Linked DNA regions of Tamandua tetradactyla. The protein of the gene in region 1 interacts with the protein of each later gene in a biochemical or structural test. Links are inferred from orthologs where the notes say so. Each region holds a gene or a part of one and is shown in the gene's direction. Other genes may lie near its edges.

Region 1 (7,478 bases):
TGTTGTTTTATATAGATGTGTCTTTTTTAAATAGCTCATGTTTGGAGAATTCTTTTATACTTATTTGCTTTTTGTCTGAGAACCATGTCTATTTTTATAACTCGAGTGTGAGTTCTGTATATTCTCACATTCTCTGTAACGTGTCCATTTTCTAGAGAACCCAGTAACTTTTATACAGGCTCTTCTTACCATCCCTTGTGGTTTCAGAACAAGCTTTATTTTATTACAAGGATACTAATGACAACTAATTCCTATTGCAAATCTACCTGCCAACTTTAGTTGTATAGGTAGTTTCATGTAATTCATTTGATTTCTCCTCCAGCAGTCAAAAGTAGCCCAAAAGATATTTTATGTAAGTTTACCTGACCTTCTCACTATTGAAGAATTTCTCCTCAGAAATTATTGGGGAAATTTGGGAAAGTCAGTCACAAGCAAGAGCAATTCATTATGAAAGCAAACTGAAGAAAACAGTATTAGTCTCAGTTTTTAGCCCAGGAAGTTTGGAGAAAATGTCTTCATGTCACCAATTTCTTTGTTGCATGAATTGTAGTGTTTCACTGTAAGACAGCATGAGGGGTTATCAGGTCAAGCTTTGTTATTGTATTTCCAATTCAATTTATCTTGAATGTCTGTCTCTTAAATTGTTTTTTGTCAGTTTCTTTCAACTAAGCCTTATTATTATTATTATTATATGGAATTTTTCAGAGAAAATTAAATCAGAGAAAATTTCCAAGGTCCTCTACCTTATTTGTCTTCTAATCCTTGTGTGTTCTGTGGAAAAGGAGCTGCATGGCCTCAATGCCTCCATAGAAAATGAAAGTTAAGTTCAGAGGACAGAATGAAATCATTTTTCCCCATTAGGTGGTGTGGCCTGAGTAGTGATTAAGCATCCCTCCTGCATGATTTTGCTCTAGTAACTTGTATAAAATGTGTTGGTAGTGGGTACATGGGTGGTTCAGTGGTAGAATGCTCACCTTCCATGCAGGAGACCCGAGTTTGATTTCCGGACCATGCATCTTCACCCCGCAAAAAAAAATATGTTGGTGGCCCTCGTTCAAGTTTTTAAGGGGAGAGGAGTCTTCTGAAGAGGAACACTTATTAATTCATTCTGTATTGAGTCGCCTATTTGAATGCACTGTGTGTGGCTTTATTCTAGGAGGCTTTTTGACTTAATTATAGTATTGTTCCCTATTGGCGTGTGTGTGGAATAGTCCATCCTGCTACTGCTAAAGTTATCTTTCCTTGAGTAAATTATGGAGCTAGAATGTTTATAGAGTTCATAAAATAATTGCTACGCCACTTTAGATTAAAAAGTAAATGATCCTCTCATAAAAACAAGTTTAGTAGAGGGCTTAATCCTTAAAAAGTCTTCATTTATAAACTGAAGACTGTTCTCTCTTCTTGCTCAGTACCCTGAATTAGCAGGTTTGGAACACTCAAGAATTTGGGTTCAATCACTTGGTAATAGTAATTCTACTTACTTTCTAACATTTTGGCTCTTTTTGACCAGGACAGTTGTAAATTAGATAAAATATCTTTATGCTTTATCCAAGAGGACTTGTTCATAAACACTTAGGTTCATAATTATAATTATTTTCTTTCTATTCCATAAAATGAGCATTACGATTGCACATTCCTTCTATTGTCTGAATTTATGTCAGAGATATAGCTTGCTTAAAATACATTTATATGTAAATTTATATTTTCTTAGAAACATGGATGTTTGCAACCATTGCTTTCAAAGAGATTATTACTGTGTATTTTCCTTGTCTTACAATATGTTTTCATGAAGACTGTGTTATACCAGAGGTTTTGGATAATGGTGGTGATAACCAGTTTTTGCTGCCTGTATGTACCAGAGATTTGTGTACTAATTTAAAAAAACAAATAAACTAAGAATAAAATGGAGTTTGCAAACAAAATTTCATTAATCCTCTCCACTTGCTTATCAGTTGAGGATTAATCAATAAAACCATTTACATTTAGTGAAAGTAAATTTCCTCAAGTGCTCTCCCTGGTAGCATGTTTTCTCTCCACTTGAAAGAGTGGAGATAAGAATTACTTAATTGCCACAGATATTTTGCTATTGATATTTCTAATGTAAGCGCAAAGTAGGTTATCTGTTTTAGAATTCATTGACTTAGTACTTCTTTGGAAATTATATATAAATGTGCAAACAATTAAGAACCTGAGGCTATAAGCTATATGACAAAAGTTTCTTATGCAAAAGCAAGCAACATTAACAAAAGACTCAGAAACATGTCTGCCCAAAAGTTAAGTAGGCTTCATTTCACATGTTTTGTATATCTAAATCATTAGCCCTGAATGTTTTCATTTGACTTCCAATTACATATTTCCAATCATTGATTGTTATTTTAATTGGTTTATCCCACCATTATGTTAAAATTAAAAATGTACAAACAACTCAGATTCTTTTGCTTCCAACTATTTCCCCTTTCCATTTACCCACTTTGTATCAGTGATATTGCCATTCAGCGTGTCTCTAGTTCACTCTTTTGAGGTGTAGTCTTCCTTTTCTTTAATTGTTCCCTTTATCCAAACTGTTTAGGGGAGTGCAGGCCTGTTGTCCCAGGATTGATTTGACAAATCTAAGAATTCCTAGCCTACCTCTGGAGTAAATTTACTACCCCTTAATTATTCAGCTGTGCTGTCTCATAATTTAGCTACACCTAAGCCAAAAGCATATGCAAAATGCAAACTTGCTGTGTTCCGAATAATGCAAAACAAGGTTTAAATAAATGAACAGTAGAACTAAGAATCATCTTATACTTTACAACAGAGATCCAGTTATTAAATTCAGATGCAGTTGGAGTAAGATACTTTAGCCAATTTAAAATAAAAAATTTAATAATTATGAAGTTGCAGTATAGCCTTTTCATTAATCACAATTATTCTTTGATTGTTTTTTCCCAATTGTTATTTATTAGTAAATTTTTACATAATTGTAATAATACAGTTGCTCTACTCATAATTGTAATAATACAGTTGCTCTACTCTTAACATTATTGCAACTGTCTTCGCACTTAACATGGAAATTTTGTTTCTCAATTATATTGCTTGCATATTATTCTGCTAGGCTATGGTGCCTGCTTAAACTTCTCCTTATTTCAGGATAATCACTTTTCTAATTCTTTATCTTTTATAAAGATATTAAAACATTAAAAAACATTTTGAATTCCTTAAGGAAATAAGAATAGAGTCTTTGGGAATGATTTTTTTTCTGATTTTGATACTTTCCACAAAATTGTCATCCCTCAACAACCAGTATTCATTGCTCCCAATTGCATGCATCTCTTCTTCTGTAATCTCAGTAACACTAAAAATTTTTAGAATTTTTAGCATTTCCAACTTAAAATAAGTATGAAATAGAACATCATGGCTGTTTTAATTTTTTTCTATGTTTAATTACTGAACATGTTTCCAAATGTTGGTTGTTTTTTTTCCTGTTTCTTCTTGTGTTCCTGATGTTCTCTGACTATCGGTACACTGGGAATATGATGATACAAATACAGCAAATGCTTCTTCCTAATCTAATGTCCTCTTCAGTTCAGAACTGACGAGGTATTCTAATTATAGGACATGCCCACAATAGAAGTATATCTAAAAAATATGAGTAGATACCTCTTCATCAATACCAAAGAAGCGCCTTCAGCATCCACTATTTACCAGGTACTATACTAAAGTCTGGGGATACATGGAAGAACAATACAGACAAGGTCCCTGCATTCACCGGCTCATTAAAGTTTAGTTTTGGCACAAAATACTTTAAACCTAACAAAGGCTTTCGGTCTCCGTACGGGGAATGTACTTAATCCCGCAACACTACACTAGAATGTGGGAATGGAGTTTCCACTTGGCTGCTCTTCTCACCATCAAGTTAGAAAACCTGTTCATTCCAATTTCCGGTCGGACTACAAGCTTTGAAATTAAGTCTTTGCAACACAGTACTGCCGGCTCGGGGCAGGACCCCAAACCTAGTCACCGATGGATTAGCAGGAGGAGAGCGCATCATTTTACGGTTCGATTCCACTCTGTGATTGTTTCTCTACGGGAGCGCTCCAAAATCGTCCGTCCGCGGGCACACTTCTAGCTCTTCCTCAAAACTCGCCCTCCCTCTTCAGCCCAGTTCTCAGAGGACTTTCTCTGCCTTTATAGGTCCCGCTCCCTTGGCTTGCCTTTCACATCGCCTAGGCCCCGACCTAACCTTTGGGATGCTTCTCCTAGGACTCCATCGTCCTCGAACTCCCGCCACCTCTTATTTCTCTCAAACTACCACCTACTAAGGCTCCGCTGGAACGCCCCTTCTCCGCCCCCGTGGTTTTAAGGTAGCAGCCTCTACAGGATTTGGGGTCATTGTTTTCTCCATTCTCCCAAAACGAGGCGCGACGACACACACACAGACTCTCCGGAGCCTGTTTTACGACAATGTGCGGCTGTGCGGCGCGGTTGACGGCAGCGCCGCGCTGCTCTTGGAGAGGTCACTCCGGAGACGGCGTTGGGTTTGGGGTGTCGGGGTCTCTGGCACCATGTGGAGCGTCTGTGCGCGCCGGGCACAGCGTGCGGCACCGAGGGCAGGATTTGGGGCTCGGTGCACAGCCTTGCGAGAGGGACCCGAAGCTCTGTGCACGACCCCACGGTTTGGCTGTGTCCCGGTCCGTTGCACCAGTGCGATCACAGAGTATGGCGGGGTCCGGGCGCTTTGCGGCTGGAGCCCCAGCTATTCGGCCACACCACGGAACCGCTTGTTGCTGCAGCTTTTGGCGTTGCCTGGCCGTCGCAGTTATAGTCTTCCCCCGCATCAGAAGGTGAGCCCCCAACCGGTCCATCGCGGTATTCCGTTGCCCTTCAAGACAGACTTCTTGGCCTTGGGATCCTCCCGCAGAGACCTCAGCGAATCCCTACCCTTTCCCAGTATCTGTCATCGTCCTTTCCCCAACTCTTGAGCTTTGCAGTATCTCTTGAGCTTCCCTTTCCTAGTTTATTCCATTGAAAAAAGAGCTCCAAGCCTGGGACTTTTTGCGAAGTATTTGCTGAGGTACGTGATCACTGAGAACGTGAACTTTGGCAGGAATTGTTTTTTATCCCTAGTGCCCAGCGTGTAATGGAACTAAATAAACTCTTTGCATTAAACTAATTACATTAAATCGAATTGAATAAAACAGTGAACCAGACTGAAAGTGAATACCCCCTTTTTAAAGCTATTGTTTCTTCTGTTCTCCTCCAGGTTCCATTGCCTTCTCTTTCCCCCACAATGCAGGCAGGAACCATAGCCCGCTGGGAAAAAAAAGAAGGGGAAAAAATCAATGAGGGTGATCTAATTGCAGAGGTAAGTTGTTTTAGATTATGGAGATGACTTTGAAGGAGCTGGCTTAACTATGCTGACTGAGCATTAACGTTCTGGGTGGGTGATTATCCACTTTGCTAAATAAACTGAGATTTTTTTTTTTTTTTTACGGTTTGACATTAGAGAAAATTAGTTAATTTTGTCAGCATCTAGCCAGACTGACTTTTGACTCAATGTCTTTCAATAATTCTTCTTTCAAATCTGTGGTTTATTTACCCTGTTGAACTGTATGATCCTGGACACGAGCTAATAAACATACTGGCTGCATGAATCTAAACTAATGCTTTTTGTGTTAAAAGGTTGAAACAGATAAAGCCACTGTTGGGTTTGAGAGCCTGGAAGAATGTTACATGGCAAAGATTCTTGTTGCTGAAGGTGCCAGAGATGTTCCAGTTGGAGCAATTATCTGTATTACAGTTGAAAAGTGAGTGGTACCTTGATAATTTGTGGAACTTTAGTGCTTGGTGGAGTATTTTAACCCAGTATTGAGAAATTAGGGCTTAAAAGCTTCTGAAGATTACTTGTATGGGAGCTGAATCTCCTTTATAACCTTTCATATTTATGCATTCTTTCTTTTCTTTAGGCCTGAGGATATTGACGCCTTTAAAAATTATACATTGGATTCCTCTGTAGCACCTCCCCCCCAAGCAGCCCCAGCATCAACCCCTGCTGCTGCTGCTTCGCCTCCTACACCTCCTACTCCTGTACCTTCTGCTCAGGCTCCTGGTAGCTCATATCCCACTCACATGCAGGTGAGGCTCAGCTTCTGAGTGTTTTCTGTAGAGAATTTTATTATTTATTCGTTATTTCTGATAGATAGCTATCACCTCCTAGAGCCACATTCAACATGGCTAGTTGTTGTCGTTTTGGGAGTAGAGATTTAAGCATGGAAGCACACAGCCTTTGTACCTGTTATTTTCAGTTCTGTGAGCTAGGACAGTGCCTTTAACTTTCTAAGTCTCAGTGTAGTAGAGTGGATGATGTGTAACACTTCTTATTCAAGAACATTGTTATGGATTTTGAAGATGATTTGTACTTCTATTTACTCCCCATATAAATAGGTTATTTAGTAGGGATCAAGTGCTGTCTGTTGAATAAAGGATCCACAGTTGGGTTTTCCTTTGATGAGTAATGTCTGTTTTCTAAGAGTAGGTGAAGTAATCCAATAGTATTAATAAATGAGAAAATAATAAAGAGAAATAAGTGTAGACTATATATAGTATATAATAGCATTACAACAAAGCTGAAGACAGGTGTAATCACTGTCGATTCTCATAACTAAATCAGTTTTTAAGAATGAAATTAGTTTCTTGGGTATTAGTTATTCCATGTATTTTTGTATGTTAAATGTTGAGAATGAATAAACACCAATTGTCTTTTCTGAAGGATTAAGATGAAAACTTTTCATTTAGTTTATTTGTAGAAATATCTGTATAGAAATTTTTTTCTCCTCTGGGCATCATTTTCTACTCCATGGAACAGAATAATATCTATTATTACCCATTGTTATGATGAAGTTTTGCCTGGTATTCAGTTCATAGATTTATTTCATCTTGTTCAACAAGCTGTCTCACTATATAGGACTTATTTAATTTCTCTCCATAATATGTTTAATTTTGTGTAGAAGTGTTAGGATTGTGCCTTAATTATGTAGAGATTTTTGGCTCCAATAATTTTTTAAAAAATATTTTTGAGAAATAGCCACACATGTATAGTCCGACCATATTATACAGTTAGTGGCTCATAATATCATCACATAGTTGTATATTCTTCACCATGATCATTTTCAGAACATTTGCATCACTCCAGAAAAAGAAATAAAAATAAAAAAAAGAACTCATGCATCCCATACTCCTAACCCCTCCCTCTCATTACCTACAATATTTCAGTCTACCCAGTTTTTACTCTTTATCACCCCCTATTATTTATTTATTTTTATCCTTATTTATTAATTTTTTTTACTCATCTGTCCATGCCTGCATAAAAAAAGCATCAGTCACAAGGTTTTCACAATCACACAGTCATATGGTAAAAGCTATATAGTTATATAGTCTTCTTCAAGAATCAAGGCTACTAGAACACAGTTCAACAGTTTCAGGTACTTCCCCTCTAG
Region 2 (7,995 bases), on another chromosome or scaffold:
AAACCTCTCCTGACCCCTGCCTGTTGGCAGACCCATTTCCCAGCCCCTACCCCCTTCCATGGTACTGTAGCAGGGGAGCGCCCTCCCCTGTCCTTGTGCCTTCTTTGTATGTAGGCTTCTCATGGCAACCAATAAACAGCCCCCAGTTTGTACAAGCTGCACCTTCCTCCATCCACAGCCTCCCTTCCTGCCAGCCCAGCTCATTTTGAATAGCTGGCAAATAGTAGTGTTACTTAGTTAACCCCTAGGTGGGCAAAACCAGGTGCTGGGGTCTTGGAGACTGGGAAAGGGGAGGTCTATGGAGGAGACACCAGTTCCTGCTCTCAGGGCTGCACCAGTCTAGGGGATAATCATAGGCACAAAACTGAGACCCCAAACATGGAATGAGGGCAGAAGACCTGAGTAGGCTAGATGGAATCCAGAAGGGTTTCCTGGAGGACAGTGGGGCTGGCCTTGGGGAGGGGAGCAGGGATAGAGCTTGTCTTCTGCAGAATAGGAAAGAGGCAGAAAGCTACTTTGCTATAGAAACAGGTAGTGCTGGATAGCGGAGGAAAGCTGGGCACAAGGGTTGAGAGAAGAGAATTTTCTTCCAGTGAATTCTGAATTCAGTTAAGACCCTTCTTTCCCACCTTAGTTTCCCCACTTCTACCCCTATGCACCATGGTGAGTAGGTCAGAAAGTAAACCCATGACCCAAGGCTGAAAAGACCAAAGGTCATAGTGTCCATTGCACAGCCTCTGGAGCCCTAGTCTTTTGGAGGCTTTTCCAGGAGTATTTCAATGCTAAGCTAATGTAGCCCATGCATCTGCTGGCCTGTGGTACCGCACACAGAGCAGCAGGACTAGGCCCCTCTGCACAGCTCCCTTCCCTCTGGGGTTAGCCTTGCACCAGCTCTTACAGTTATATCCCCAGCCTGTAGGTTGTTCATCATTTGGATCTAACCCTGGCTTTGCTTTTACTGCTTCCTGTGGCTCCTGGAGCTGCTTCCTCCTCTGTGCCAAGGTTGGATCCACCATGCAGCCTGGGGGAGTGGAGCAACACTGCTTTCCCTGTCACTTCTTTGTCCTAAATTGTGGTATGGGTCCTTCTGTTAATTTCCCTTAAGACTTGAAATTACTACGCAGGGAAGACTAGAGGTGGAGCCCAGGTTCAGCTACTCTCAGATTCCACAGATGCCGGCTGCTGCCTGGGGATCTCCCAGTCTGCTTCTCTGTGACACCTGTCTGCCCTCCACCCCCTCCAACAGGACCTGCCTCACAATAACGTCCTGGGCCCAGTGCACCTCCCCTCTCCTCACTTTCTGTGCTTGGATTTGCCCCTTCCTAGAATGACTGGAAGTGGGGTATCCACTTCCTTCAGGAAAACCCCAGCCCCTACCCAAAGATGCCAAGCTCTTAGAACCCAATGATCTGAGGCCTCAGTTTGTTTCCCAGAATCTGGGTTATTCATTCGGTAGGGAATAACACCACAAGTGGGTTGTCAAAGCTCAGTTCATATTAAGCATAGGTGAGCCCAGCTCAACCCCGTTCTTTACGGTCACTTTCTGCTTAAGAAAAAGGCAGGATCTACACATACCTCCGGCCAGCTCCACAGTCCCAGCCTCAGTCTCCTAAGAGTGGCTGCTTGCAGAACACACAGTCCTGAGAACAAGTAGCCATTTTCATGGGTGATGCAGCCACACTTTGATGAAAGAAATACAGTTAGCAGAGATGCTGCTCTGCCCACAAGAATTCAATCCTCTAAAGTGCCAAGCTTCTTGAGCGCCATGGAACTGCAGCGCCTCCAAACTCTGCTCCAGAAGAGGGTCTTGGCTTGGGCATCACTAAAAGGGGCAATCAAGTTGATTCTCCCCTTTCTTGGCACCTGGCAGGCGTGCACTTCCTGGGCTGTCCTGTTGGGCTGAGGGCATGTGACTAATTCTGGCCAATGAGTTGTGAGCAGGAAGGAAGTGGCTCACTTTTGAGCTGAAATATTTAATTGCAGGTGTGAGAAGTTCCCAGTTCCCTTTCCCTGCATGTACTGCTGTGAAAGTGTGTGCTGAGATAAAGCGTCTGTCATTCTGAGTCCCTGAGAGTCCTCCACCAACCCATATTATCATATAGTGGGAAATAAACTTTTGTTTTTCTAAGTTACTGGGAGTTTGGGGATTATTGTTACCTCAGCATCACTGACCTAACTCGACAGATACAACACAACACACCATTCCCATTACCAACTGCAGCAATCTCTGCAGAAGGAACATTTCCCCCAGCACAGAATCCACATTATGGAAGTCTGGCTCTAAGGTGAGGATAATGGGAAATCTATTTTCCTCTCCTGCACCCAGCCTCAGAGGTCATGGCCTTTTCCTTTAATTTTGAAAATAAAAGTAACAGTTGATTATTTACTGTGTAGCAGGGACGGGGCCAGGCTTTTTGCATGTAGTATCCCATGTACTTTTCTGGGCAACTTGAAAACGGCACTCACCAACCTGATGGATGCGTGGTGGTCCTCACCTGATCCCGGGCATGACTCCTGCCAACCCCATCTTTTCTTTCTGCTCTTTCCTTCCTATTGCATGCCAGGTACTGTGCTTGGGGCTGGAGATGGAGCAATGAATAAGACAGGCTGAGCCCCTGCCCTCATGGAGCTTAAAGTCTAGTGGGGGAGATAGATGCATCAACAAGTAATCACCACCCAATGTGATGGTGATAAGAGCTAAATTAGTGCTAAGGACAGCAGTTCTCAGGAGGGCTTAGAGGAATCCCAGAACCCAGCCTGGTAGGGTCAGGGAAGGCTTCCTGGAGGAAGGAGTGACAAAGTAGCTGAGACCTGAAGAATGGGTAGCTAAAGGTGCAAAGAAAGAAGGATCCAAGCAGAAGAGACAGCATGTGCCACAGCTTGGAGACCAGAGGCTTCATTGGCAATCGTACTTAAGGCAACAGATGATGAAGCATGGCTGGGATTTGAGCAGGGGAATGTGGAGAGATGAGGCTGAGGAGTTAAGCTAAAGCAGATCATGTAAGAGCTGAAAAGGCTCTGTGTTCTAGTTAGCTAGGCTGCCAAAAGCAGTTACCATAAGATGGGTTGGCTTTTAGTAATGGGAGTTTATTAGCTTACAAGCTCACAGTTCTGAGGTCCTGGACATGTCCAAATCAAGGCATCATCAAGATGATACCTTCTTCCTGAAGACTGGCTGCTGGAGATCCTGTATTCTTCTGTCACACAGCAAGGCACATGGTGGCCTCTGCTGGCCTCTCCCTTCTCTTTCCAGTTTTGTTGTTTTCAGCTTCTTGCTTTTGTGGCTTTCTCTCTCTTTGTATGAATTTCATTCTTTTATAAAGGACTCCAATAAGAGGACTAAGACGCATTCTAAATGAGGTGGGTGACATCTTAAGATCCAACTCACCAAAAAATCCTACTTACAATGGGTTCACACCCACTGGAATGGCTTAGCTTTAAAATACACTTTTATGGGGGTACATACAGCTTCAAACCATCACACTCCAATAAGGAGTGGAGCAGTTGAAAAGCTGGGAGTAGGGAAGTAACACGGTCAGAGTTGCCATTAAGAATGACCCTTGCGCCTGTTTCCTCATCTATCAAATGTGGACAATAATCGTCCAATAAGTTGCCTTGAGAATTAAATGAGATAATGCGTGCAGACAGTGCCTGGCACATAGACTATTCTTCATTCAGCTGAGAGTCCTATTAGTGTTGGTTCTAATAGGACTGTGTAACTCTTTTATTTACTTAGGCAGCTATCTCCCAAAGTGAACAATGACGTGCTGGGGGAAAAGACCGTGTCTCCATCCTGTTTGTGTTTCCAGTTCCCAGCACAAAGCCTGGCACACATTAGGCACTTGCTAAGTGTGAGCCAACCACTGAAGCATCAAAGACAGCTGGCAAGAAAGGTTTGAGTCGGCCTCTCCGCCGGGGACAGGACATACCATGTTTGACCACAAGAGGGCGCGCTACGTTCCTACGAGACCGGCGGGCTGCTGGGAAAGGGGGGAGGGCCGGGAGAGGGCACCACCCAGCACCGACCCCATCCCGGCCCCCTCTCCCGCTCCCGCCCTGACTCCGGGCAAGTCGCCTCCCGGGACCTCCCTCCTGGGAAGCCGATGTTGCTTTCTCAGTTGGTCGTGCTAGATATCCAAGGATTCACGTTTAGTCAAATGAGCGAGAGAACAATGAAGATGAGAGGGTCTGGGAAACTGCGCTCCAAGCACTGATGTTTGTGTCGCCGCCGCCGCTAGTCTTTTAGGGCTTTGACTCTGGGTGTTGAGTTTCACCTGGAAACGTAAAATGCCGTCCTTTCCCGAGTCACTTGGATCTTTGTAGAAGTGGGGGGCTGCACCAATACTTGAGGGATTAATACAGGCTTGAATCCCGATTCCGAATTTTGCAAATAGTCACAGCCTGGCTCACTGTCACTGAAACCGTCCGAGGAGACTGGTTGCTGGAGGGTTGGGGAGAGTCGGGATCCGGACTGGAGGCCCACGAGACACTCAGGGAGAGCAGGAAGGGCGCGAGACAGGTGAAACGGGTACCTTGGGGGCATTCATGGAAAGCTACCTGGACCACACCAGTGAAGGAGCCAGCAAGTGAGGGAGATGTGGGCAGAGGGCCGGGGAAGAGGAGGGGAGGGAACTCACGGACCTCTGGGGAGGCCGGGGTTAACTCGGGCCACGCCCCGGGAGGCGAGCGAAGAGAGAAAAGGCTGCCCAAGGGAGGTCGGCGCCGCCTCGGGAAAACAACGGCTCGCGGGGGGCCAAGACGGGGTTAAGGAGGCGGGCCCAGGGCGAAGCCACGTGCCGGAGCAAAAGGCTATTGGTTCTCCCGGACTTGTTTGTGCGCGGCCCATTGGCGACGCCTGGGCGCCGCGACGAGCCGATTGGCCGGGGCTGGGAGGCCCCCGCCAGGGTCGGGTTGGGGGAGGCGGTGGCGGAACCGCGTCGCGGGACCGGGCTGGGCCGGGCTGGGCCAAGCCGAGCGTGAGTACCGCCCGCGCGGGGACCGGAGCCCGAGCCCGAGGTGCGGCCGCCGTCGCCGCCATGCGCTGGGTTCGAGCGCTGCTGAAGAATGCGTCCCTGGCAGGGGCGCCCAAGTACATCGAGCACTTTAGCAAGTTCTCCCCGTCCCCGTTGTCCATGAAGCAGTTTCTGGACTTCGGTACGGAGCGGGCGTGAAGCGGCTGACCGCGGGGGCCAGCGGGGACCCGCGGGGGGCTGGGAGGAGGGGCAGCCGGGCGTGGTCCGGGTAAATGAAGGTGTCCTGCCAATGACGGAGTAGGGGAAGAAGATAGGCCCTGGGTGACAGGGAAGGTTTGCTAGGAAGAATACAGGCAGGAAAGGGTTAACGGAGAAAAGCAAAGCCCTGGGCCTGAGAGGGTTAAGGGAACCCTAACTGAAGAGAAACGCGACTGAACTGTTAATGGGAAGTGTCTGAATGGGAGCACTGAGAAAGAGGGGTCCAAGTTTCCTTCCTGGGCTTTATGGGCGGCCTGGGGAAATGAGGGGTAGTGGGGGGGGCTATTTGGGCAGAAAGGGAGCAGAGTGATACCCAGGCACAGAAAGGTTAATGGGGGTGGGGTGGAGGGTGTTGGTGGGAGTACTAGGGCCGGTTGGAGAGGTGCAGGCATCTGGAAGGAGCCTGCATATGGTAGGATCAGAGACTCCTGGGCAGAGAGTGAGAGAAAGCAATGGCAGTTAGGGATGGGGCCCCTCTCAGAAGATGATGCCAACCCAGGGGGAGGGCCCTGACCAGTGTACCTCCATTCACTGAAGGAGCTGCTTCCCTGGCTACCCCAGCAGGCAAGGACACTTGAAGATCAAATCTGCCTGGGCCTGGCAGTCTGTCCCCCTCTGGACAGGGGCCCGAGGCACCATGAGGTGCAGTCAGGCTGCTTGTACCCATCCTTGGCTGCCCCTGGATTCCTGAGCCAGGATTGCCCACCGCTGGCATCCAGGGGGTAGCTCTGGGGCAGGAGCAAGACTGTGCCAACGCGGCGGCTGAAGCAGGCATTGTGTGGGCTCTGTCTGTCCACATGGCATTTCCGTGGTGCCAGCTGGCGATTGGGAGGGGCTGCCCAGGTCGGTAAACAGTTTAGAAGATAGTGCCTGGCTCAGGTTACAGCTACCTCGCTGATGGGAAGGGGTGGGGAGGTGGCAGCAAGGACACAGGAAACCTGTTCCCCAGGACTGCGCTACCTGCCCCTCTGTCCTGTTTCAGTCTTGAGCGTCCCCCCACGTGGGCCGTTCCTCACCCTCAACAGCTGCCCAGCCCAGACTGGACCCCAGTCACTGAAATGTCACAGTTGGGAGGGGCTCCCAGGAGAGCTGGGCTCACAAGTAGTACCATGGGGAGAACTGCAACCTTCAAGAAGGAGGGTGCTATGCCCTGGGTGACAGAGTTGGAAGTGGAGCCTGGGCGAGCAACCAGGTCTCTTGACTCCAGGCCATGTTCTTATTCAGGGGATCTTCTACCCCTCAAGCCAGACTGAGGACTCAGGTATTTGGGCTCCCACCTTCAGGCTCTGCTTGCCTCAGGGGTGTGCATTCATGCAGGGAGCTGAATGGTAGGCAGGGTGGTGCAGATGTTTGGGCACTAAAGGAAGCGAGGTGAGCTGCCTTGTGGTCTGCCCTTAGGCAGGTCACTTGACCTCTGAACCCTCAGTAAATGAAGGGTTTAGCTGAGCTGACCCCAAGCCATCATAGATGGTTTGTAGTCCTGTGGACTCACCCCTGTGTCCCACCTCTAGGGTCCAGCAATGCCTGTGAGAAGACGTCCTTTACCTTCCTCAGGCAGGAGCTGCCCGTGCGCCTGGCCAACATCATGAAGGAGATCAATCTGCTTCCCGACCGGGTGCTGAGCACACCCTCGGTGCAGCTGGTGCAGAGCTGGTGAGACCCCTGCCCACGCGTCCCGGGCTCAGGGATGGAGTCTCCAAGCTGGGGACAGAGGGGAGGCACAGGGGCTCAGAAAGGCTGAAGGCTTGCCTGAGGCCACATAGGAATCATAGGCCAAAGCGGGGGGCTGAGATCATGTTCCCGGCCTCCAGAGTCTGCAGCCAGCCCGACCCATACTCTCCTCCTTCCTCTAGAAGCCCACGATCTACCTGGGAAATCAGTGTTCACAGCCAAGCCCCATATTAGGCCCTGGTCCTGGAACTCCAGCCCATGCTGGTGTTAACCCTGTTGGGTAATATTTATCTGGGGCAGCTTTATGTGAAAAAGAAACAAGAAGAAGCAAATCTCTACCAGATGAACAAATTCTACAATTTAAGCTACAGATCAGACTGTTTTGAATGTGGAAAACGTTCAGGGGGGTGGCATGAAACCTACCCCAAGTAGCTTTGAAGGGGCAAAGGCCAAACGTTTATTGCATGTAGCAGCAGTAACGGGAAAGCCCTCAGTCAAGTTCACTCCAGAACTCTGTGCAAGGTTAAGTAACTAGTAACTTCAGCCAGTGGCTGGTCACGTGAAGAATGAACAAGGGTTTAAACGCTCTATAACTGTAATCCTTGGCCTTTAGTGACACCCTAGTAAAAACTTCTGCTAGGTCTTCTGGACGCTGTATGGCATGCTGTGACTTCTTTCATGGATTCAAGCATGGGACCTGAGCTGAGCCCTGCGGTGTGCTGGGTCTAAGAAAACGGCAGCAGCTGCCCTCAGGGAATCCGTGAGCTCACAGGGGAAAATAGAACTTGCCAAGGCAGGGTGAACTAAGTACGGCATACGTAATGGGAGGAGCAGTGAGCTGCTGCAGGCTTAGTTTTATTTAAATTAAGAACTAAGATGTTGTTTTTTACAACAACAATATCTTAGTTCTTAATTTAACATTAAGTTAATATTTTAATATTTTAAAAATACTTTTATTGTGATATCTTCGCATGCCATACAGACCATCCAAAGTATACAATTGGTAGCTCACAGTATCATCGCATAGTTATGTATTTATCATCGTGATTGTTTTTAGATTTTGCATCACTTCAGAAAAAGAAATAAAAAAACG

Evidence for each region. The genes of interacting proteins can lie anywhere in the genome.
Region 2: the proteins of DLAT (region 1) and PDK2 form a complex in vitro, tested with the Homo sapiens proteins (2 studies listed by BioGRID). The link is inferred for Tamandua tetradactyla from reciprocal best matches to the Homo sapiens genes DLAT and PDK2.

What each region holds. Positions count from the first base shown.
Region 1 is NC_135334.1:29,233,194-29,240,671, reverse strand, and holds the start of DLAT (dihydrolipoyllysine-residue acetyltransferase component of pyruvate dehydrogenase complex, mitochondrial), read left to right. Parts: upstream 1-4,475; 5' UTR 4,476-4,547; coding exon 4,548-4,826; intron 4,827-5,245; coding exon 5,246-5,347; intron 5,348-5,664; coding exon 5,665-5,789; intron 5,790-5,948; coding exon 5,949-6,117; intron 6,118-7,478.
Region 2 is NC_135332.1:31,238,519-31,246,513, forward strand, and holds the start of PDK2 (pyruvate dehydrogenase kinase, isozyme 2), read left to right. Parts: upstream 1-4,925; 5' UTR 4,926-5,036; coding exon 5,037-5,154; intron 5,155-5,836; exon of another isoform or gene 5,837-6,028; coding exon of another isoform or gene 6,029-6,074; intron 6,075-6,306; exon of another isoform or gene 6,307-6,492; intron 6,493-6,742; coding exon 6,743-6,884; intron 6,885-7,995. UniProt on the Homo sapiens protein: Kinase that plays a key role in the regulation of glucose and fatty acid metabolism and homeostasis via phosphorylation of the pyruvate dehydrogenase subunits PDHA1 and PDHA2.